Diceros bicornis minor: one gene and its partners. The protein of the gene in region 1 interacts with the protein of each later gene in a biochemical or structural test. Links are inferred from orthologs where the notes say so. Each region holds a gene or a part of one and is shown on either strand. Other genes may lie near its edges. The genes, in order: EVL, APBB1 and RAD51.

Region 1 (7,549 bases):
ATATTCACTTTTTTGTGGTGGTCTGGAACCAGACCCTCAATATCTCTGAGTTACGCCTGTATAAGTGGGGGGAAAAAAATCCATACTAGAAACAGCATAGAAAATGGCTGAAAAGCAAAGACAAAGAGAACATTTTAAAAGCAGCCAGAGAAAAAGACCAGTCATGTGTTGCTTAATGACTGGGATACATTCTAAGAAATGCATCATTAGGTGATTTCATCCCTGTACAAATATCACAGAGTGTACTTACACAAACCTAGATGGTATGGGCTACTACACACTTAGGCTATATGGTACTAATCTTACAGGACCACTGTCATATATGCAGTCCATCACTGACCGAAAAATCATTATGTGGCTCATGACTGTACCTTCAAAGGAACAACAGACTGATAAGTGACTTCTCAACAGAAACAATCCAAGTCAGAGATAATAAGATATCTTTAAAGTGCTAAAAGAAAACAATGGCAAACCAAGAATTCTGTAACTACTGAAAAGACCCTTCAAAAATGGAGAAACATGGGGGGCCGGCCCGGTGGCGCAAGAGGTTAAGTGCGCGCGCTCCGCTGCGGCGGCCCGGGGTTCACTGGTTCGGATCCCGGGCGCGCACCGACGCACTGCTTGGTAAGCCATGCTGTGGCGGCGTCCCATATAAAGTGGAGGAAGATAGGCACAGATGTTAGCCCAGGGCCGTCTTCCTCAGCAAAAAAAAAAAAAGAGGAGGATTGGCGGATGTTAGCTCAGGGCTGATCTCCTCACAAAAAAAAAAAAAAAAAAAATGGAGAAACATGTTCTAAAATTAGACTGTGGTAACGGCTGTATAACTCGTGAAAATACTAAAAACCACTGAACTGTATACTTTACATGGTTAAATTTTATGGCCTGTGAATTATATCTCAATAAAGCTGTTTTTTAAAAAAAAATGCAGGATAAATGACATCTGCAAAAAAACACTGTAAGAATTTGTCACCAGCTGATCTGCACTAAAGGAATACTAAAGGGTATTCTTCAGGCAGAAAAATAATGACCCCAAATAGAAGACTGGAAGATGACAAAGGTGGCACTGCAGAACTATGGGGAAAAGATGACCTTTTTGATAAACAGTGCTGAATAAACGGTGCTGGTAAAAATCAAACTTGACCCCTTTTTCACAAGTTCCACAAAAATCAATCCCAAGTGGACTACAGATCTTAATTTGAAAGGCAAAACAGTAAGATTTCTAGAAGACGTTATAGGAAACTATCTTCTTGACTTTGGACTAGAACTACAAATTAGGAAGAAAAAGACATGTAAAGCCCAAAGGAAAACTGGGCAAGACAGCTGAACAGGCACTTCATAAAAGAGGGTATCAAATAAACATGAAAAGATGTTCAACCTCATCAGTCAACAAGAAACTGCAATTTAAAACCACGATGGCACACCACTTCACACTCACCAGCATGGCTAAAATTAGAGACTGACAATACCAAGTGTTGATAAGGATGTGGAGCACAAGAACTCTCATATACTTCCTGGTAGGAGTGTAAATTGATACAAACACTTTGGAAACTTGGCATTATCTACTAAGGTTGAAGATATGCACATGTTTTGACCTACAAATTCCACTGCTAGGTATCTTCCCAACAGAAATGAATGCCCCAGGAGACATATAAGAACATTCATAATAGCATTATTAATAGCTAAAAGCTAGAAACAATTCAAACGTCTACCAACAGTGGAACGGATAAATTGTGGACATTCGTACAATGGAATACTACAGATCAATCAAAATGAACAACAGTTACAACAGAATGGATGAATCTCAAAAACCTCCAGACACAAAAGAATATATATTGTATCATTTCATTTACATAAAGTTCACAAAACAGGCAAAATGAAACGACAGATACTATAGTTTTTATGAGATATGTGTTTAGAAGGTAAAATTTCAGACAAAAAAGGCAAGGAAATGATTATCCCCCAGAAGTCAGGATTAGGCTACCTCTAGAGAGGGAATTCCGGGCTCCTGGGTGCTGGCGGTGTGTATTTCTTGACCTGATAACCGCCAGACCCCCCGGCTGGGTGATAAATCAGCGAGCAGCACATTTGGGGTCTTGCACTTGACTGGCGTGCAAGAAGAAAAGAAAAGGGGGGAGAAAGGGGAGCAGAGGGAGTAAGAGCTGCAGACGGAAGGAAACTCCCGCTTTACAAGGACGCTGAAAGGAGGCTCTGCGCGCCGGCAGAGGGGAGGCTGCGCCCAGGGGGACAGCCCGGAGAGGGAGGCGGAGGGGCTTCGGGCCGGCCTCCTCGGGGCTGGAAGGCACCGAACGGGGCTGCGGCCAACGTGTGCCACCGCGCGGCCGGGGCGCGGCCACACCTGCCCGCGGGGTCGGCCTCCCCCAACCCCGGCCCCGCAGCCCCGACAAGTGCCTCCCGCCAAGGGCAAGGGCCGGCACCCCCCTCCTCCGGGCGCCGCCCCCCCGACCCCCCCCACCGTCCGCGGCGCCCCCCGAGTCTCCCGGAGCCGTCCCCGCGCTCCGGCCGCCGCCCGCCCGGCCCTCGGGCTCTGCGACGCCCGGTCCCCTCTCCGCGCGGCGCCCGCCGACTCACCTCATTGTCGCTGCCGGGGCGGGCGCGCGGGGCCGGGGGCGCGGCGCGGGGCGTTAGCGGGGGAGCCGGCCCCGGGCGCGGCGGCTCCGCGTCTCGCTGGGCTGCGGGCGGCTGCGGGGGCTCATCTTCTCGGGGCGGGCGTCCGGGCCGCTAGCTGCGGGGAAGGGCGGCGGCGGCGGCGCCTGACAGCTGGGCCCCGGCCCCTGCCATCTTGGCGGGCGCGTGCCCGCACCGGCGTCTGCGCGCGCCGCCGGAGGGAGGGGAGGGGGCGAGCGCGTCTGCCCGAGACTCGGGGCGGCGGCCCCCGGGCGGGCGCGGGCAGCTAGGGGTCCGCCGAGGGAGAGGCGGGAGGGCGCGCGCGGGCGAGCTCAGCCCTCGAGGCGAGACTGAGGGTGCGTCCCTCCGCCCGCTGAGGGAAGTGCGCGCGCGTGCGTCCCTCAGCCCGCGGGCGCTGAGGTGAGAGCGCGCGCGGCGGACCGAGCCCGACACAAAAGGCGCGGGGCCCCACAGCCCGCGCCTGCGGGAGAGGCGAGCCGGGGGCTGCGGGGCGGGGCGGGCCGCGAGGGGCGGGGCTTCGAGGGAAGGCTGAGCGGTGAGGGGCGGGGCGGGCCGAGGGGCGGGGCTTCGCAGGAAGGGCGAGCAGTGAGGGGCGGGGCGGAGCTGCGAGGGGCGGGGCTTCAAAGACGGGGGCCCCGTGAGGGGCGTGGCCTCGGGTGGGCGGGGCCTAAAGGGGCGGGGCGCCGGGCCGGCACGTGGAACACTGCGCCCCCTTCCCGCGCGAGGTACCCCACGTACTGACAAAGGCTGGTTAGTGCTCTGGCGTCCTTGGTCCGTGGTCCCAAGCTTCCCCTTCTGCTTCCCTGCTGTGTGCCCCGCTTGCTCAGACGCAGCGGGCAGTCCCAGGGGCGTCGGGGTCAGCAACGACTGACCCCTCTTTTTGTAAATGAAGAGCCAAGGCAGGGACCGAGAGTCGCAGCTTTGGGGCAATATCAGCACCTAAAGGTCCTCCCCCAGCCCAACAGGAGCCCCACCTGGCGCCCCAAAACCACAGCCTGTGAAAAATCACTTCGACAACACGAGGTCGTCCAGTTGTTTTCTCTGCTTAAATCCCCCTCCTTCCTAAAGCAGACACCGTTCATTGTGCTTTTTCAATATCTCCACTAATGCTCCTTTTCCCTCTGTCACAGCAACATTGAAATCACATCTGCCTTTTAAAACATTGGGTCTGAACAAGAGCATATCAAGCGTTTGTGGTGTCTGGCATACAGTAGGAGGGTAGTGGAGGGTGGCTGTTTTGCTCCTGGCCCGGAGTGAGAGGAGGCTCTGTGAGTTACGTGGTTTTGCCCAAGATGCAGGAAATGGTGGAGCCAGCTCTCAAGCCAAGGTTTTTCTGACTCAGAATCGCCAGTGCCTTCCATTCGATTTTGCTGCAGTTGATCTTCGTTCTCACTCATTGCAGATTGGGTCTCTATGGGTTTATCCCCCTCCCTGTCCCCTGTCCCCTCCCTCATCACCCACTTGTTATCAGAGTTCCTCAGAGACTGGTGGTCACACTGCCACTTTCCTTCCCCTATTTGAGCAGAAGTCTTCAAACTCAAAAGGCACCTTGGGCCCCTCTAGTCCTGTTAGCAGCTCCAGAGGGTTTCAGCCTCCCTAACCTTATTTGTCTCTCTATTCCCAGGGTCGAGATTGGCTCTTTGCTACAGAAGAGACTTATTGGATCCTAAAAATTGCTAAAATAGACAAGCCCCAGGTCACTTGGAGACGTCCAGTTTTGCTCTGCAGAGGCAGTGTTACCCCTGGTCAGTGCATATCTGACTGTGAGAAGACCCCCCAATAGCCAATAGCCTGTTTGTTCCCAGCCTGGTTTATAGAAGCATGTGGCCCACTCTGACCTCCAAATTGGGCCTTTTCCCTGCTGCCTTGGAGTCTGACAAGTTGTTACTGTCTTGTAACTGGAAGAAGGTTCGCTGGGAAATGTTGGTGGATTCGTTATACAACACGAGCATCAAAGGTGAGGGGCACACGCCTGCTATCAACCTTTCGGGCTAACTGCCAATCGCCTGGAACAACAAAGACATTCAAGTTCCTTTAAGGAGGATCACAGAATACTGATGCTGGAAGGGACCTGCAAATCCTTCTCTAGGTAAAGGATGGGGGCACGGAACACTGAGAAAGGGAAAGTGGTTTAACATCACCCCGTGAATTCATGAAATCAGCTGTGTCGGGCTCCTGGAGAGGTCGTTTCTTGCATCCGATATTTGTTCCTCAGAGGGCTTCAAGAGCAGCAAGAAGGTCCGGGAAGGACAGGTAGGGGCCACTTGCGCCCTAAACTAAGCCCCACTTCTCCATGAATGGGCATTGGTCTTTGTCTAACAGCCCAAGGATGCTTGGGAAGGAAGAGCTCCCGGTTTTAACCAAGCATCGCAGACCTCTCTCAGCCTCCGTTTCTCACTGACAGACCGGACTCCTGAATCCGTCTTGCAGGCACTGCTGAGGGTCAACACAGAGTAACTCCTGAGAAAGAGCCTTTCTGCCCTTCTCCAGCGCTCGCCCTCTCGCCTCTCCTTCCCCTTTCCCTTAACTGTGGATCTTTTGAAACCAGTCTACTTAACATGTTTCCCATCTACTGAATAAAGACTTTATTCCTTAAAAGTACATGAATTCATGTTTTCCATTCTTCTGATAAAAAGAAAATTAACATTTTTTTGGACCTGTGGCCCTCAAATGATTTGTTTCTGGAGGTCACCATTCCTTGGATTTGAAAAGTTTGCTCCTTGAAGTCAATGACTGTGACATCTGATATGTGTGGGTGTGGGACCCGTGGCCAGGCTGACTACCCCGGGTCAGCTCTGAGGCCCTCCTGGACTGGTTCCCATTCATGGGGGAGGCAGGAAAGATGGGGTTTCTGCTGTCTGTTGAGCCCAGGCTAGTCATCGAGCCACAGACACTTAATAGAGCTAGGATGTTCTCAAAGGGTATCTTGTCTGACCGCCTTGTCCTGAGGAGGGTGAAACTGAGGCCCAGAGAGGTCACACAGGTGAGTGGATGAAGAGCTGGATGAACACGTTTCTGCAGTCTGCAAGTCCCAGGACTGCCCACGTTATCCCATGCTCCCTCCCTGTTTCTTGATGTTTTTCCAGCCCCGGGTCACTGGTGAGGAACCAGCCCCATGGGCCATATTCCCCATTACTTGGCTTTGCCAAAACAAACCTCACTCACCGCAAATAATCAAAAGAAACAGAGTTGCTTTTGATGATTCACCAATGAGACCATGTCTGGTTTATATTAACCAGCATAAGTAAGTTACTAATTCATGCCAGAAACTCAGGTGAAGACAACAACGGATGTCTCAGGGGGCTCAGGGACCACCTGTGACTCTGCATCCCTTTTTTGACAATTCTCATTTACACCATTAATCTCACTGACCAATTCAGTTATTACCAACAACTGTTTTCCTTACATACAACACAATTTGTTTTCATGCATTCTTTCATTCACTGTTTATTGAGCACCTACACATCTCTGCCTCCTCTCATGCCCAGCCCACTGCCTCTGTTTACCTGGCAAGTCATCTTCAACCCTCACCCACATGTCACTTCTCCCCTGGGACCATCAGCACTCCCCTCCCATAGGGCTGCAGGTGCCATTCTCCATACTGCTTTGGGGCTTTTGGCTTGGCCCCATCATACCCCCACTGTACCATATTGGGGTGGTCTTCTTACTTGCTGGTTCCTCCACTAGACTGTGAACTTCATGAAGGCAGCGAGCATGGTTTATTCCTCTTGGTCCCTGAGCTTGTTACAGCACAGAGCTGAAGAGATCCTGCTGGAGTGTTGTCCTTATCCAGGCAGTGCCCGCGGGGTTGGGGACCAGCCTGTGTGCCCAGGCATTACATTTTGGAAACCAAAGCTCCTGCTTGTGTTCTAGGTCCATCTGGCAGGAAATGTCAATTGCTTCTGACCCATTTAGCCTTCCACACACTTGAGGATGGTTCACAGCTGGAGCTTCTCTTTGACTCCACCTGTCAGGCTCCTCGCTCAAAACGCCTCTCCTTAAGATTATGTTTCACCGGCTTTGAAGGCTCAGGAGGGGGTGACTTGGGAGAGGGGCCTGTGGGGGTCCTACTGGGGATGACTCCAGCTTCCTGCTAGGGTAACGCAAGACCTGGACCAATTGCGGGGAAGCTTGGCCAGATTGGGGTTGGGGACAGTTTGGTACCCATCCAGCAGAGGGAAACTTCTTAATGCCACTGTTTGCATTGGGAGGAGAACTGAGGACCCAGGCTGGACAGGCCTGCCTTTCTGGAGGAGTCTGGAGCCAAGTCCTGCATCCAAGGCTGACTTGAGTGTTCCCACTTAATAGGATCTTAATGTTCCCACTTAATTAATTAAGAAAAGTAAGCCCTCAGGCCAGCCCAGCCAGCAATCCTGGAGAGAGCTGCTGATCCCGGGGGAGCCTACGCCCTTTCCCACGAGACCCCAGGCCTTTGGGAAGGGATGTTGCACCCAGCTCCTACCTAGGAGAGCCCAACCTCCCTCCCGCATTCCCAGCCCCAGTTATCAGGGCTGTTCACCATCAGCCCTTGGGAAGAAACTTCCTGATGACTTTGGCCTCTTGGCTGTCTCAGACCTGCCTTGGAGACCCTGACAGCAGGCCTTTGTGGGGCTGAGGGAACTCACTCCTGCAATGGGGCTAGGAGGCCTGGGCCTCTGAATGTGTGAGCAGACATTTTAGGGTACTTGGAAAGTTTGAAGGCAGCGATTCCCCCAATGTGATGTTCTACCAAGTTGAGTAGTCAGAAGGTGGCACGGCTAACAGAGGGATTGATAGAGAAGTTATAAGGGAGAATCAGGAAGATCTTGCACAAGAGCAATCTGAGAACAAAACGTAATTTGGGGAATAAAACACACATTATTTAAAAAATTTTTTTAATTTAATTAGAGGCAGTGAAAAACAG
Region 2 (8,027 bases), on another chromosome or scaffold:
TGACACCATGGGCCTCTCATCCAACTTTCATCCATGGCTTCCACATGCTACATCTCCTGGTTTTCTTCCTACACTGTAGTTACTGCCTGGTGGTTTCTTAGACTCCTTTGCTGGCTCATCTTCCTCTACCAGCCACTATACACTGGAGTTTCTCACAGCTTGTTCTTATGTTCTTTTCTCTTTCTTACCTGATATTCAATATAGGTATTCATTCATGCTCATAGCTTCAGTTACCACCTATACACTGATGATTTCCAAATTTACATCTCCATTTCTGACCGCTCATCTGAGCTCCACACATGTACATACAACTTTCTCCTCAACATCTTTACCTGGATGTCTCAAAGCCCTCTCAAACTAACATGCCCACTCATGTTTCTCTCTCCCACACCCTAACTGGTCCTCTTTCAGGATCCTGGTTTGTGGAATGATATGACCATCCATCCTGTTGTGCAAACCAGAAGTAGAGGTACCATGCTTGACATTATCTTCTCCCTCACTCGCCATATTTGATCCATCTCCAGGTATTGACAATTTTCTTGCTGAGAAAAATTTCTGGACTTGATCTACTCTCCCCACCCACTATCATCAACAATCCACATCAAGGACAAAGACCCTAAGACCAAAATTCTTAACATGGCCTAAACTGTCCTGCTCAGCCTGGCCCCTACCTTCCTCTCTAGCTTTGGCATTCTGCTCTCCAGTCTCACTGGCCTTCTTTTGACTCCTCGAAGACAAAGTACTCTCTCCTTCCACAAAGTGTTTGCATGTGATTTATGCCTGGAACCTCCTTCCCCTACTCTCTCAGCCTAACCAACCCCTACTCATCTCTTACATCTTAGTTCAAATGTCATATGCTCAGAGAAACTTTCCTTGTAGCTCTCTCCTTGTCCCCTAGACCAGTTCAGCTTGTGTTCTTGTGTATTTACAAGGCACTGTCCACCTTTCCTTCATGGTATTTATTATATCTATAATTTTATTCTTATCTGATTTCCCCCCTAGTTTGTCAGCTCCCTGGGGACAAGAATCCAGTCTGTTTTGCTCATAATTATATCTTTAGTGCCTACCACAGTACCTGGTATATATTAGGTACTCAGAGCATATTTGTTGAATGAATAGATGATCAGATAGATGCATTTTTTAAAGGATCACACTATGTCGAGAGTAGTTAACAGGAGAAAGGCAAGAGGGTATGCTGTTAGAGCAGTCAAGGACAAAAAGGATTGTGGCCCAAATTCAGTTTGGTAGCAGTGGAGACGGCTGAAATGAATGGATCTGAAAACTATTCTGGTAGTAGATGTGACAGAACTTGGTGACATCAGAGGTAGAGAGTGAGGGAGAGAGGTTAATCTAGAATGTTGCCCAGGATTCCAGCTTGGGTTACCGCTTGGAAAGTAGCCATTTCTGAGAGTTGAAGGAAACACGGATTTGGAAGAAGGGTAGACAGGGGACAGAGGGAAACCAATTCAGCTTGGGATCTGTGGGTCTGGAGTTCCTGCTGGACTTCCAAAGGGATGTCATGAGGACAGCTGGATATTGAGTCTGGAGTTCAGGAAAGAGGTCTGGACCAGATATACAAATTTGGATATAAACATATACAAAATTTGAAGCCTTGGGAGTGAATAAAATACCCAAAGAGAAAGTGCCGAATGAGAGATGACAGCTCAGGACAGAATCAAGAGCCTCACCAACATCTAAAGGGAGAGGAAGGAGAGAGCAAATGAGACTGAGATGGAGTGGACAATGCCACAGGAGAGAAGCCAGAAAAATGCTTCAAGGAGAGTTGACACCACCACTGAATACTGCAGAAAGGTAACGGGGGATACCAGGAAAGTGTCCACTGGAACTGGCCACATGGAGGTCTCCGGTAACCCTGGCTTGAGCAGTTTCCGTGGGTGTCAGAGACAGAAGACTGAATGAAGTGGTTTTAAGAATGAATGGGAAGTGAGGAAATGAAGGGTAAGTGTAGACAAGGTTTTGGCTTTGAAGAGTGGAGAGAGCCAGGACTATGCAGGAGAGGCTGGGAATGCAAGAAATGCACAGGCAGATTCAAAATAGGTTGGGAATCACCTCTGAATTGGCAATGGGAAAACTGCTCCTCAAGAGTCTCCTCCGAGTGCTAGGCCTCCCGGCTTAGCTGGGGACACAGCCGGCCCCAGGGCACACCCCTTGGTCGCTGAGGGCAACAGAATGCGGCTTGACAGACCCCAGGCCTGGGACCCTGCAGGAATCCGTGCGGTCTCTGTCTACCTCACCCCACGTCCCCTTGCCAGCCCTTGACCTCCCCTCCTCCATCCTCCGTCCCCCATCCCCCACTGCCCCTCGCTTTGCGTCCCTTATACTCGCCCCCTATTCATCCCAGAGGAGCAGGAGGTAAAGGTCGGGGAGGGGAGGGTGTGAGGGCCGAGGTGGAGCCTACAAGGGGGGACAGGACCGGGGTCGGAATGCGCGCGGTGGGAGGGCCGCTCGCGGGGATCGGGCCTGGCCAGGGGACCCGGTCGGCCGCGGGGAAGGGACTGCGGGGTCTACTGGCCGCTGGGGGTCGGGATCCGGCCGCGGTGGCTGGACCCAGGCTGGGGCAGCTCCTACCTGCGCGGGGAGGCCCCAGGCCCTGGTGGCGGAGGTGGCTCAGGCTGCGGGGCTCCGACTCCGCGGCGGCTTCTCCATCACAACATCCCCCGCCCAGGAGCGCGCGGGCCGCGGGGCCGCGCCCGGAGCGGCGGGGGCGCGCGCGGGGCGGGGGGAGGGGGAGGGGGAGGGGCGCCATCTTGGGCCGGGCGCGGGCCACGAGCGAGAGCCCCTCGGGGGTGCATTAGCTGCCGCTTCCCAGAGGGCTCCACCCTACAGGACCCTCGGCCGCGGTGAGCCCCACGGCCCAACACCCCCCATCCAGCCGCGGTTCCCCGGGTCCCAGAGCGCTGCCCAGCCTCCGCCGACCCGTGCCCAGGCTGGCACCGCCCTCCTCCACGAGGCCACGGACTCACCCCGCGCCCCGCAGGGCCCTGGCCCCGCACCCCCGCGGGGCGACGCTCCGACGAGGTTGGAGCGGGAGCGGCGGTGGCCGTGCCCGGGGCCGTGGCCGCGCGGTGAGGGGCTCCGAGGAGGCAGCCTGCCCCGCTCTTGCGGCAAGCTCCCTGACGTCCTGGTGGAGAGGCAATGAGGACGCAGCGCTGGTGATAATAATAGCTCGTGTTTATTGACCGCTTACACTGTGCCGGGCTGTGTGTTAAACCTCTTACATGCATTCGTCCTCACATGAGCCCTGGGAAGCTGGCTATTATTATCCTCATTTTTCAGAGGCAGATGCTGAGATTCAGAAAGGTAAAGTGAGTTGCCTGCAGTCACAAGTAAGTGAAATCAGACTGGAACCTAGATGTTTCCTAACACCCGACCCCTGCTGCTGAACATAAAGGGAGGCCTCCCAGATGTCGAGAACAAATCCTCCCCAGTAGAAATTAACAAGAGAGAAGAAAGAAGACGAGAAGGTAGATGAAAAGTGTGAAGGAGGGGATGGTGGGGCACAATATTTACTGCAGACTCCCTGGATAGTGGGATAGTTCCCAGTGGTCAGTCAGATCAGAGCCCAGAGGCCATCAAAGATAATGAAGGGGGAATGTTACCATCCAGAAACCTTCTCATGGCTCATTCCTCTAAGGCAGAGGTTTTCATTTATTGTACCTGCTAACTGTTGAGCAACTGACAGGAGATACCCTCAAGAGACCTAAAACTAAAGGTGTCCAAATTTAAATTATCTCATCCCTTTATTGACCTTCTAAGAAGTTTCACTGGGGTGGAAAAGAACCCTCCCCAACATGCGCACAGGCGCATGTGCATGCACACACACGACTGAATGCAGCTCCACTTCATCCATCCCAGTAAATGGCACCACCATCTACTGGTTTGCCCAAGCCATAGGCTTCAAGATCATCTTTGACCACACACTTTCACTCGACTTGAGGTGAATATAAATGTTTTAACTTTTTATTATGGAAATTTTCAAATATGTACAAAAGGAGACAGAACAGTATAATGAACCTTCATATACCCATCACTCAGTTTCAACAATTATCAACTCCTGGCCAAGAGTTTATTATGATTTGACAAACATCTGTGATATATGAACCGTGTTCCAGGTCCCAAGCTTGGCTCTAGGGATCCAAAGATGAATCAGATTTGACTGTAACCCAACCTGGAGGAAATAACATCTGACCTGGGTCCTTGAAAGATGAGTAAGAGTTACCCAGAAGAGGAAAGCTGTCCTCATTCATTCATTCTCTTTCAACAAATAATTATTAGGTGTGAGGCACTATCCTTGGTGCTAGGAACATGTAAAGAAACAAGATTCAGGGCCAGCCCCGTGGCGTAGCAGTTCATTGCGTGCGCTCTGCTGCTGGTGGCCTGAGTCTGGATCCCAAGCACCCAGTGAGGCACCACCTGTCAGGCCATGCTGTGGTGGTGTCCCATATAAAGGGGAGGAAGATAGGCACAGATGTTAGGCCAGGGCCAGTCTTCCTCAGCAAAAAGAAGAAGGATTGGCATGGATGTTAACTCAGGGCTGATCTTCCTCACAAAAGATAAATAAATAAAGTCAATTAAAATTAAAAAAAAAAAAAAAAAAAGATTCAGTCCCTGCCTCCATGAAGCTCAAATAACAGGGGAAAGAGACATTAAACATGTGATTAGAAATGTGATGAGTATCTTGAAGGAGATGTGCAGGATGCTATGTGGGTGGATTAAATTTGGCCTGAGAAGGTTTGGGAAGGCTTTCATAGGGAAGTGGCACTTACGTGAGGGGAAGGGATGAATGAGATAGAGGTCAGCCAAGAAAAGAGAAAATTATTCCAAGTCAAGGGAGAAACACAAGAAGGCCAGTATGCGTATGATGGTGGAGAAGAATGGCATAAGATGAGCTGGAAAGGTGGGTAGGTGCCAAATCAAGGAGGACCTTGTATGTTAGGCTAAGAGTTTGGGACTTTATTTTAAGGGGAATGGAAAATTATCAAAGAATTTGAGGCAGGGGAATGGCATGTTCACCCTTGCATTTTAGAAAATCACTTCTGGCTGCTAAGTGGAGAATAGACAGGAGGAGAGCAAAATTGGCACTGTGGGGACCAGTTAGTAAGTAACTGATGTAGTCTAGGTGGGAGATGATTATAGTGGTAGGAGTAGGGATGGAGAAAATTGCACAGGTTTAGTGAATATTCAGGAGGTGGAATTCACAGAAATTAGTGGTCTATTGATTGATTGGCTAAATAAAAGGATTACTTCCAGGTTTCTGCTTCAATAAATGAAAAAATCCAGAAATATCACCCATTTTCAAACAGCCCACCAGAATACTTATCTTCCCAACCCCATTGAGCAGGATGGCTGCAATATCCAGGGAAATCTTTTCAGGTAACCAGAGGCACACAGATAGGATGGTGAGGGTAAGGAGAGGAGTTTAATTAGCTAGTTTAATTAAAATGCAAAAAGGAAAATGTACAGTTCACACACAGTGCAGTTTGACCCACACACAGTCTTCCTGAATCCCTAATCTCCTCCTGGGTACAAAGCGTCCTGATTAAAGGGGAGTGAACCTGTGCTATCCATCCATCCTTTCTCTATTGTATCTCTTCCCCCTTCTGGTGCTCTCCATGGCCTAGGAGCAACCAATAGCCTATGAATCACCTCGGGTGCTGTGTGTGGTTCTGACCAATGTGGGGCCCTCTGAGGCAGCAGTCTTTTAAAATTATTACCTTGGACCTATCAGGAAAATCATGAATCACTTACCAAGAGTACTGGATTTATGCTGTTTGGTTTAATAGACCAGCCAATTAGCATTACCAGGCAGTTGGCACCTAACTCGCCTATATGGAAGAATAGCAAAGACACTTAATGGAGCAAAGGCAGCCTTTTCTACCACTACATATAAGAATTGCTTTGATATTGTAACTTTTCTTGTAGTTGATCTAATAAACCCTCATTCTTCTGGGTGGTTGTTATCATTCAGAAAATCCATAAGGAGTAAAAACTTCCCACATAATATAAGGAGTTCATAAGTCAGATGGTAGGCCTGGCAAGGAATTCCTCAACACCCTTCTTCAGCAGGACTATTCTAATCCATTCCCAGGAAGAGCGTATAGGGTGAGAAGAGAAAAGGACTAAGGACTGAACTCTGGGAATGCCGGCATTTGGGGAGCCAGCAGAGGAAAAGAAGGCCAAGAATGAAGCTGAGAAGAAATAGAGAGTAAGAGAAGAATTAGGAGAGAGTAATGTCATGGAAGAAATCCAAGGGAGGAAAGACTTTCAAGGAGGACGAACTGATCCACAGCATCAAATGCAGCAAAGATTTCTAATAAGGTCAACGCAAGAAACTATCCTTTGAATTTGGCAACATGGAGGTCATGGATCCCCATGATATGATCTATATCAGCAGAAAATGGAGGCAGAAGCCGCAATGCAATGAATTGAGCAAATGAAAATGAGGATGTAGAATAAGTAAGTGCAGAACCCTCTTTTGAGAAATTTGGAAGAAAGAATAGATGGTACCTGAAAAGTGATATGAAGTTAAAGATTCTGGTTTTGTCTTTTTTTTAAGATGGTGGAGAATTGGACATGGGTATAAGCTACAAAAAGATACCAGTAGAGAAGATGGATTTGAAAGTAAAGAAAAAAGAAGATGAGAGATGCGGTGAGATCCAGGAGGTGATGAGAGGAGGTGGGATCAAGGGCTCATGTAGAAGAATTATACACCTTGACTTTATAGACTGCAGGGGTAGGGGTGATGACAAGGATATATGTAGGGTAATTAATAAGATGGGAGCAGGCAAGAGGTTGAGGTATTTCATGCCTAGTGATATCAATATTTTCAAAGTCTTTAGCTGAGGAAGGGAAGGAGGGTTGGATAGAGAACAAGAAAAACTTTACAAGGTAAGTATTATCTTGTCATGAACATGTTGTTGTTACCTTTGTTGTTGTTATCTGTGCAGCATCCATTCCCCCTTTTATTGGTCACAGCACATCAGTTTTCTTTGAAGACCCATCCTCTCCCCACTCTAAGTCTGTGTGCTTCAGATGGGAATCATTCCAGCCCCACAACACACTTCAGTGTTGGGCTCCTAACCCATGATCAGGTCAATGTGATCAAGTCAAAGATGGTCACATGACTAAATTTGAGCCAGTGAAAATCAGATCCAGGAATTTTCCTGCAACTGTTGGGTAAAAGGTGCTGGTAGAATGTAAGCCTGGTGGACATCTTGCCACCAGGAAGGTTGAGCCTGCCTGAGAATGAAGCCAAGTCAAAGAAAGCAGAGCTAAAGGATGGAGAGAGAGAGATGCCTAATAACATCAATTTAACAGCTATATTAACCTCTGCCTGAAGTCACATGAGTCAATAAATTTCCTTTTTTCCTTACACCACTTTGAGTGGGTTTTATCACTTGCAGCCACAAGTTATGATGAATATGTGTGGCAGATATTGCCTGTTGGTACTTATCCCCACATCCACTCTTCTGTAATCTCCCCTGCACCCACAGCACTGGAAAGCTGAAAACCACATTTCTCAGGTTCCTTTGTCACTTCGCTCCAGTTAGGTTCTGCCAATGGGAACCCTCGAGTGAGGAAGATGGGAGGAAGGGAGAAGCCCTTCTGCTTTTAGCAGTGCCTCTGGCAACGTCAGCAGCAGTGGTTCCTGCCTAGCAGAAGTGGGGGCGGTTCCAGTAGCATCAGCAGTACAAACTCCAGCCGCATCAGCAAGTGAGTACAGATTTGTAGGTTCCAGCTCCTTGATCTTTGGGCAGTACTTTTTCTCCCTTTTGCTCCTCTAACCCAAGATTAGCGGTAGTTTCCTGATCTCTGGGTAACCCTGCTTTCCCTCTTATGCTTCTCCAGACCTCCCCCACAACTTTGTAACAAATTCTTTGCATTAAATCCTTCTCTGCTTATATCTAGAGTGATTTCTATATCCTTATTGAACAGTGATTGGTACAATACACTCTCCTATTTTGCATACACAGTGCTTGTACACACACATATACCACACACAAAGC
Region 3 (8,097 bases), on another chromosome or scaffold:
AGGAGATGTGATGATGGAAGCAGAGGTCAGAGTGATTGTTGGCTTTGAAGATGGAACCAAAGAATGCAGATGCCTCTATTTTTATTTTTTGCTGAGGAAGATTCGCCCTGAGCTAACATCCATTGTCAATCTTCCTCTTTTTTTTTTCCTTGAGGAAGATCAGCCCTGAGCTAACATCTGTGCCCATCTTCCCCCACTTTGTATGTGGGATGCCTCCACAGCATGGCTGATGAGTGGAGTAGGTCCGTGCCCAGGATCTGAACATGTGAACCCAGGCCACCAAAGCAGAGCATGCAGAACTTGAACTACTCAGCCATGGGGCCAGCCCCTGCTGATGTCTCTAGAAACTGGAAAAGGCAAGGAAACAGATTCTCTCCTAGGACCTCTAGAGGGAACATAATTCTGCCAACACCTTGATTTTAGGCCAGTGAAACCCATTTTGGAATTCTGACATCCAGAACTGTAAGATACTACATTTTTGTTGCTTTAAGCCACTAAATTTGTGGTAATTTGTTACAGTAGCAATAGGAAACTTAGACAGTGGGATAACTATTCTGTTCCATTGACCCATCATTTTTGTACAAGTACTTTTTAATTATTGTGGTTTTATAATATGTTTTAATATTTGGCTGGTTCAGGCTCTATTATATCAGGATTTTCCTGGCTCTTCTTGCTTTTTATTTTACCATATAAAGGTGAGAACTAGTTTGTTCAATTCCAAAAAAAAAATCTTGTTGACATTTTACTGAGATCATGTTATACTAGATTTAAAGATAACTAACGGAGAACTGATATGTTTAAGATGCTGACTCTTCCAAAACAAGTAGATAGGATGCTTTTCTGTTTTGTTTCCTTCTTTTCTTTATTTATTTGGTGAGGAAGATTAGCCCTGAGCTAAAATCTGTTGCCAATCCTCCTCTTTTTGCTGAGGAAGATTGGCCCTGGGCTAACATCCGTGGCCATCTTCCTCTACTTTACATGTGGGAGGCCTGACACAGCATGGCTTGGTAAGCGCTGCATAGGTCCGCACCTGGGATCCAAACCAGCGAACCCGAGGCCATCAAAGCGGAGTGCGCCAACTTAACCACTACACCACCAGGCCAGCCCCTTGTGTCCTTCTTTAATATCTCAAAGTTTCCTTCTCACAGGATGTGCACTTTCCTTGTAAGTTTATTCCAAGGCATTTAATATTTTTGTTACCATTTTAAATTATCATCATAAAGTCAAAACAAATTCATACCAAAAATTCAAACAATACATAAAGAATATAGATGAGGTGCTGGCCCAGTGGCCAAGTGGTTAAGTTCACGTGTTCTGCTTCGGTGGCCCAGGGTTTGCCAGTTCGGATCCTGGGCGAGGAACTACTCACCACTCATCAAACCATGCTGAGGCGGCACCCCACATAGAAGAGCTACAACTCTACAACTATGATACACAACTACATACTGGGGCTTTGGGGAGAAAAAAGGAAAAAAGAGGAAGATTGGCAACAGATGTTAGCGCAGGGCCAATCTTCCTCAAAAAAATTAAATTAAAAAAAACTGATACAGATAAAGGCAAAGTCATCCAAAATCTTACGAGTGAGCATCCTTCCACAAACTAGGTTCTCTTAGGCATAAAGAAGGGCAATGACTGTTGGGTAGGCAACCAACAGTGATTGCCACAAAGCCCATTGGGATTTCTATTGGGAATTCTCTGATTTTGGAGAATTTTCAACTTTATAATGTTGAGCCTCCTCTGGGAACACAGTTTCAGAGATTTCTCCATATAGGTCCTGAACATTTCTTTCTTTCTTTTTTTTTTTTTTTTTTGTGAGGAAGATCAGCCCTGAGCTAACATCCATGCCAATCTTCCTCTTTTTGCTGAGGAAGACCGGCCCTGAGCTAACATCTATTGCCCATCCTCCTCATTTTTTTTCCCTTTTTCTCCCCAAAGCCCTAGTAGATAGTTGTATGTCATGGTTGCACATCATTCTAGTTGCTGTATGTGGGACGCTGCCTCAGCATGGCCGGACAAGTGGCACACTGGTGCGCGCCCAGGATCCGAACCCGGGCCGCCAGTAGCGGAGCGTGTGCACTTAACCACTAAGCCGTGGGGCCAGCCCCTGAACATTTCCAAAAGTTTATTCGTAGAAATGGTTTTTGTTACTACTGTGAATGGGATCTTTTTTTCCCTACATTGTCTAATTAGTTATTGTCAGCAGTTAATAAAGCTCTGATCTTTTTGTATTTTGTAATTAGTTACACTAATGTATTCTCTTATTGTCCTTTAAACTATCCAGGTATATAATCATATCTGTAAATTTTTTCCAACATTTACATCTTTTATTATTTTTTATTACTTCATTCTCTTATTATTATACTTAGTGGCACTTCCTGAAAAATAGTAAATAACAGAGGCAATAGACAATTTTGTTCTTGATTTTAATGAAAATGTTTCTAACATGTCACGGTAAGCAGATGACAGCAGCTTGTTTGGGACATCTATTTTTTTCTTGATCCTGTTAGGGAAACATCTAATTCCTTTTTAACTTTTTTGCCCTCTTCAGGAATTTATGTTGAATTTTATTGAATGCATTTTCAATATGATGAAATTAACCACACGGTTTTTCTTCTTGACCTATTAATATGGTCAATTATAATAACAGACTTCCTAATATTTTTTTTTAAAGATTTTTATTTATTTATTTTTTCCCCCCAAAGCCCCAGTAGATAGTTGCATGTCATAGTTGCACATCCTTCTAGTTGCTGTATGTGCTGCACTCGGCCTCGGCACGGCCAGAGAAGCGGTGCCTTGGTGCGTGCCCGGGATCCCAACCCCGGCGGCCAGCAGCGGAGCATGCGCACTTAACCGCTAAGTCACGGGGCCGGCCCCAGACTTCCTAATATTGAATCATCCTTGCACTACTCAAATGGATCACTTGGATGTGACACTGGCTTTCCCTTTCTGTGCTCCAGGCTGACTATGCCAATGAGATTATATATATATATACACATATATATATACATATTTTTTTTTTTTGAGGAATATTCGCCCTGAGCTAACATCTGTTGCCAATCTTCCTCTTTTTCTTTTTTCTCTCCAAAGCCCCAGTACCTAGTTGTATATCCTAGTTGTAGGTCCTTCTAGTTCTGTGTGGGACACTGCCTCGGCATGGCTTGATGAGCAGTGAGTAGGTCCGTGCCCAGGATCGGAACTGGTGAATCCCGGGCTGCTGAGGCAGAACGCGCAAACTTAACCACTAGGGCCCAGAGATTATTATTTTTCTTGAGACAAAAGATTACGTTTCTGCTGATTAAGTTTTGATCTTATTAGAGGTTGTCTCCTTGAGATTTCAGATAGATCACTTAGATTATAATTTAGGATATATCCAAAACTTATCAGTTACACATTTATCAACATTTTCATGGATTGCTAATTTTACTGTCAGCAAAAAATCTAGTTTGTCTTATTTTCAGTTCTTAGCGGGTTATTGGAGGAAAGGAACAGAAAACTACTCAAATTGGTTTAAGTAGAAAAAAATGGAAGGGAGATTTATTGGAATGTAGAGGTATCTCACAGACTTCAAGAGCAGTAAGTGCTGCCAGGCCTCTGAGAAACTGGAAAGGAGATCTGGAAAGCAGTCAGAATTTAAAACTGTTTCTCTCTGTCTCAGACTCTCTCCCAATTTTTCAGTCTCTCAATTTCTTAATCTTTCTGCAGATGGGACTTCTCTGGTTTGACATCTACACAGACACATAAATTTCATTAAAAGGAAAGGTCAAAGTCATACAACATCACTCAGCCAAGAGGAGCTGTGGGTTTGCAGATGCTCTCAGGAGGAGGGTGTGTGAAGAACGGGATGTAAATGTGGGTATCTTTGGTATGGAAAGCAATTCACTATTATCCCCAGGTACTATATGTAATCACTAAGTTAGGGTGATTCTACCTCCAGAATGCTTTTTGAACTTGTTCTTTCTGGCATTGCTCTAATTCAAGCCTTCATCTCTTGCCTGAAATATTGCCAAGAGCTTCCTGACAGTTTTTGCTGTCTTGACTCTCACTCTCCCGAAATCTATCCTTCATTGCCACGTGATAATGGTGTGAGGATTAAATAAAAACTTTATGAACTTTGAAGCACTCCACAAATATAAAGTATTGGTGGAGAAAAAAGTAGATCTAACCACATGACTCGTCTGCTTAAAAATTTTCAATGATTTCCCCATTACCTAAATAAAGACAAAGCTCCATACTTGGTCTTAAGCCTCTTCATAGCCTGAACTAAACGTAACTTTCCAGTCTCAGCACCTCTTACGACACTTTTCCTCCCTCATCAGACAATACTATTCCTTGACCATGTCGTTAATGTCCATGCCCACACTGCTCTGTTTATGTCTTCTCTCTCTTCCTCGCCTGGGAAACCCTATTGACTCTTTAAAATCGGAATCACAGGTCAAACTTTCTAGTAAACCATAAGGTTTACCCTCTCACAATCAATGCCTCTTTCCTCTGGAGTCCTGCAAATCTTCAGTAATGTACCACAGCTTGACTAATACTTCAGCCATTTCTTTCTTCCCTCCACTAGCTCTATTTCCCAGTTTAATCCATCTGCTCGAGTGTCCTCAGCTCCACCGCCTGCAGGGGCCTGGAAAGCGCCCGGCTCTGACAATTTGACTGAACCGGAGGCTCACAGCTATCTGAAGTGCCAAAAGCTCACGTTTAGAAACTTCAGAAGCAAATCAACAACAGCTCTCCAGAGCCACGCTATTTCCCAGGAGGGCTAAGGAACTACAGTCGCGGCGTCCGCCGGCGGTGCATACTGGGAGATGTAATCTCGGGCCAACCCCACTACCTCTTGGGAGTTGTAGTCCTCGATCTGGTAAGGAGAAGAAAGCTGCAACTCCCAAATTTTGAATTAGCCCTTAGGAGGAAAAGGAAGAGGGCAATCCATAATACCATGCAAGGTCAAGTTCCGTTGACCCATCTCTTAAGCTCGCGAGCAGTGGCTGAAGGGGCTAGAAGGCGGATCCGAGAAGGCCGGGGAGACGTTACGTTGACGCGGGCGTGACCCTGCCAGAGGTTTGGCGGGTTTTCCGAAAGCTGCCGGACGGCGCGCGCGCTGAGGGCTGAGGAGAGGTGAGACGGGCTCCGGGGCGCGTAGTCGGGAGCTGAAGCTCACCTGGGTTGTGTGCAGGGGCCAGAGCAAGGGAGTAGAGAAGTGAGGCGCAAGCGAGGGGGTCTGGAGTCCGTCCGGGGTCGAGCGCGCCCGAGCCAGCGGAGGGAAGTCGGAGCGCGCAGCCCGCCCGGGAGAGTAGCGAGCGCCGCAAGCCAAGGTGAGTGTGTAAGGCGCAGACCGGGCCCCTTTCCACCGCCGGGCTCGTCCCTGCGTTAGCCGGACCGGGCCCCGGGCCCTTGCTCCCCCGGCCGGCTTATGGGGCCCCTCTGCGCCGAGAAGCTCCAAGATGGCGGGGCGGAGCTGGGGCGTGCCCGGGCACATCGACCTTCGGACCTCGTTGTGGCAAAACAGCAGCGGACCCCAGTCTTTAGAGGTGGAAGCAACCTTAGACGGCTTCCTTTCCAACCCCTGCTTTATGGGCGTCGGCGAGGAAGCCAAGATCCGGGGAGGTGTGGTGACTTAAAGTCACAGCTGTTTCATGTCGGGGCCAGGGTTTCCGGATTTCTGGTCAGTCTTCTTTCCATTACACCGTGTTTTGCTTACAAAGTACCAAACTCCAATTGCCAAAGGGAAATTTTCGTTATCTAATGCGGAAGACCTTTTAGTGATGCCTAAGGAACGATCTGTAGTGAGGTTTGTTTTTTTTTAAACTTCTAAAGTGAAGTGTAATATGTATGTGGAAAAGTGCACAAATCAAAAGTGTACACAGCTCCATGAATTATTAACAAAATGAATATACCTGTGTAATCACCACTCAGGTAAAGAAGTAGAACGCTGTCAGCCCTGCAGAAGCCCCGCTTGTGCCCCCTTGTCTAATACTCTCCCCGCTTCTCCCCAAAGGTAACCACTATATTGACTTCTAACACCCTTGACTAATTTTGCCTGTTTTTGAATTTTGTATAAGTAATACTGTATATTTATATTTTTGTGTCTGGCTTTGCTCAACATTCTGTCTGTAGATTCATACGTCTTTGCATATAGCAGTAATTCTTTTTCGTTGTTATATTGTATTCCTTATTCATTCTACCCATGGTAGACATTTGGGTTGTTTTTAGTTTTTGGCTTTTATGAGAAAGGCTGCTGAGAACATTTCTGTATACATTTTGGTGCACATGTGTGTGCTTTTCAGTGGCTAATAATACAGAGTAGTGAAATTCTTGGGTCATAGCATTTGTCTATCTTCAGCTTTCACATTGAATACTACTTTTCCAAAGGTGTACCAGTTTACACTCAAACCAGCAGTGTTTGAGTGTTTAGTTGTTCCACATGATTGCTAACACTTGATATTGTCAATCTTTTTAATTTTAGCTATTCTGGTAGGTATATAGTTGTATCTTGTGGTTTTAGTATTTAATTTCCCTGATTCTTAATGAGGTTAAACATTTGTTCATATGTTTGTTGGGCCATTTGACTATCTTCTGTTGTGAAGGCCTTGTTCACATCCATTGCCTGTTTTTCTCTTGGGTTGCCTGTCTTGCTGATTTGAAGGAATTCTTTATATATTCTGGTTATCAGCCCCTGGTGTATATATGTGGTAAATATTTTCTCCGCTCACTATAGTTTGACTTCATTCCCTTCATGGTGTCTTTTAATGGATAGAAGTTCTAAATAAAAGTATAGTCTAGTTTTTCAGTCTTTTCGTTTTTGGTTATTGCTTTACGTATCTAGTTTAAGAAGTCTTTCTCTGTCCCAAAGTTGTGAAGATATTTGTCTATATTCTAAAAGCTTTGTTTTTCCCATTACACTTAGATCTATAATCTACATTGGAAATTGATTATTTTTCTGTGGTATGAGATAGAGATCAAGTTTATTTTATTCTATAAGGCTATCCAATCAATCCAGTACTATTAATTGAAAAGACCATCCTTTCCCCATTACTCTGCAGTGCCATCTTTTCCGTAAATTATGAAGGGAGACATTTAAATTTAAATTATGTTCAGCTGATTCGATATTTGGACTTATCATAGACTCACATTATGCTAAATCTGCCATCTACGAGATCTGTATCTGTACCAATCAAGAACAAATGGTCATGTCAAGTCTCTAAGAATGGAGATTTCATACCTGTTATCTTTTTTTTTTTTTTGTGAGGAAGATCAGCCCTGAGCTAACATCCATGCTAATCCTCCTTTTTGCTGAGGAAGACCGGCTCTGAGCTAACATCTATTGCCAATCCTCCTCCTTTTTTTTTCCCCCAAAGCCCCAGTAGATAGTTGTATGTCATAGTTGTACATCCTTCTAGTTGCTGTATGTGGGACGCGGCCTCAGCATGGCCAGAGAAGCAGTGCGTCGGTGCGCGCCCGGGATCCGAACCCGGGCTGCCAGTAGCGGAGCGCGCGCACTTAACCGCTAAGCCACGGGGCCAGCCCAATATCTGTTATCTTTTGAGTTAAATTTATCCTGATTGTTAAATTGTCCAGGTTGTTTTGGTGTGATTTAAGTCCATTTATTCTGTGGACATCAAGGCTTGTTCGCTTTTACTAATACCTCCTGAAAATAATTAAAAAATTTTTTTGTTCTCAGTTCTTCTTTTCAACCTGAGCAATCTTAACTCTATCATAATAACCTGACTTGAGCTTTGGGCCTTACGCTCATCTGGAATATTTCAGACTGAGCAGGGTACTTGCATGTTATTTATTCATTTGTGCATTCATTGAGGTCTGTAATTGATTAATATGGTGATCTTTAAATTTCATACACTCCTATCAGAAGCAAAATGTGTGACTACAAGCTATGATTCTTGCCTAAGATGAGAAGTGCCTTTCTCATCCCAGTCCATTGTTTCTGTCAGAAATGGAGGCTTATGGGCAGTCATTATGTACCTTCATTTCACTCCTGTCCCACCACCACCCCCAAACCCCGCTTGCTGGAAGGGAACAATGGAACTGAAGCAGTTTAATCTTTCATCATTTTTTTTTTTTTTAATTTTAAGTAGAGTCTCA

The links.
Region 2: the proteins of EVL (region 1) and APBB1 form a complex in vitro, tested with the Homo sapiens proteins (2 studies listed by BioGRID). The link is inferred for Diceros bicornis minor from reciprocal best matches to the Homo sapiens genes EVL and APBB1.
Region 3: the proteins of EVL (region 1) and RAD51 form a complex in vitro, tested with the Homo sapiens proteins (2 studies listed by BioGRID and IntAct). The link is inferred for Diceros bicornis minor from reciprocal best matches to the Homo sapiens genes EVL and RAD51.

What each region holds. Positions count from the first base shown.
Region 1 is NC_080763.1:45,031,120-45,038,668, reverse strand, and holds the start of EVL (ena/VASP-like protein), read right to left. Parts: upstream 3,031-7,549; 5' UTR 2,595-3,030; coding exon of another isoform or gene 2,590-2,594; intron 1-2,589. UniProt on the Homo sapiens protein: Ena/VASP proteins are actin-associated proteins involved in a range of processes dependent on cytoskeleton remodeling and cell polarity such as axon guidance and lamellipodial and filopodial dynamics in migrating cells.
Region 2 is NC_080746.1:64,493,654-64,501,680, forward strand, and holds the start of APBB1 (amyloid beta precursor protein binding family B member 1), read right to left. Parts: upstream 3,046-8,027; 5' UTR 2,985-3,045; intron 2,727-2,984; exon of another isoform or gene 2,590-2,726; intron 2,158-2,589; exon of another isoform or gene 2,071-2,157; intron 1-2,070. UniProt on the Homo sapiens protein: Transcription coregulator that can have both coactivator and corepressor functions. Adapter protein that forms a transcriptionally active complex with the gamma-secretase-derived amyloid precursor protein (APP) intracellular domain.
Region 3 is NC_080744.1:38,525,277-38,533,373, forward strand, and holds the start of RAD51 (DNA repair protein RAD51 homolog 1), read left to right. Parts: upstream 1-5,065; 5' UTR 5,066-5,115; exon of another isoform or gene 5,116-5,312; intron 5,313-5,913; exon of another isoform or gene 5,914-5,995; intron 5,996-8,097.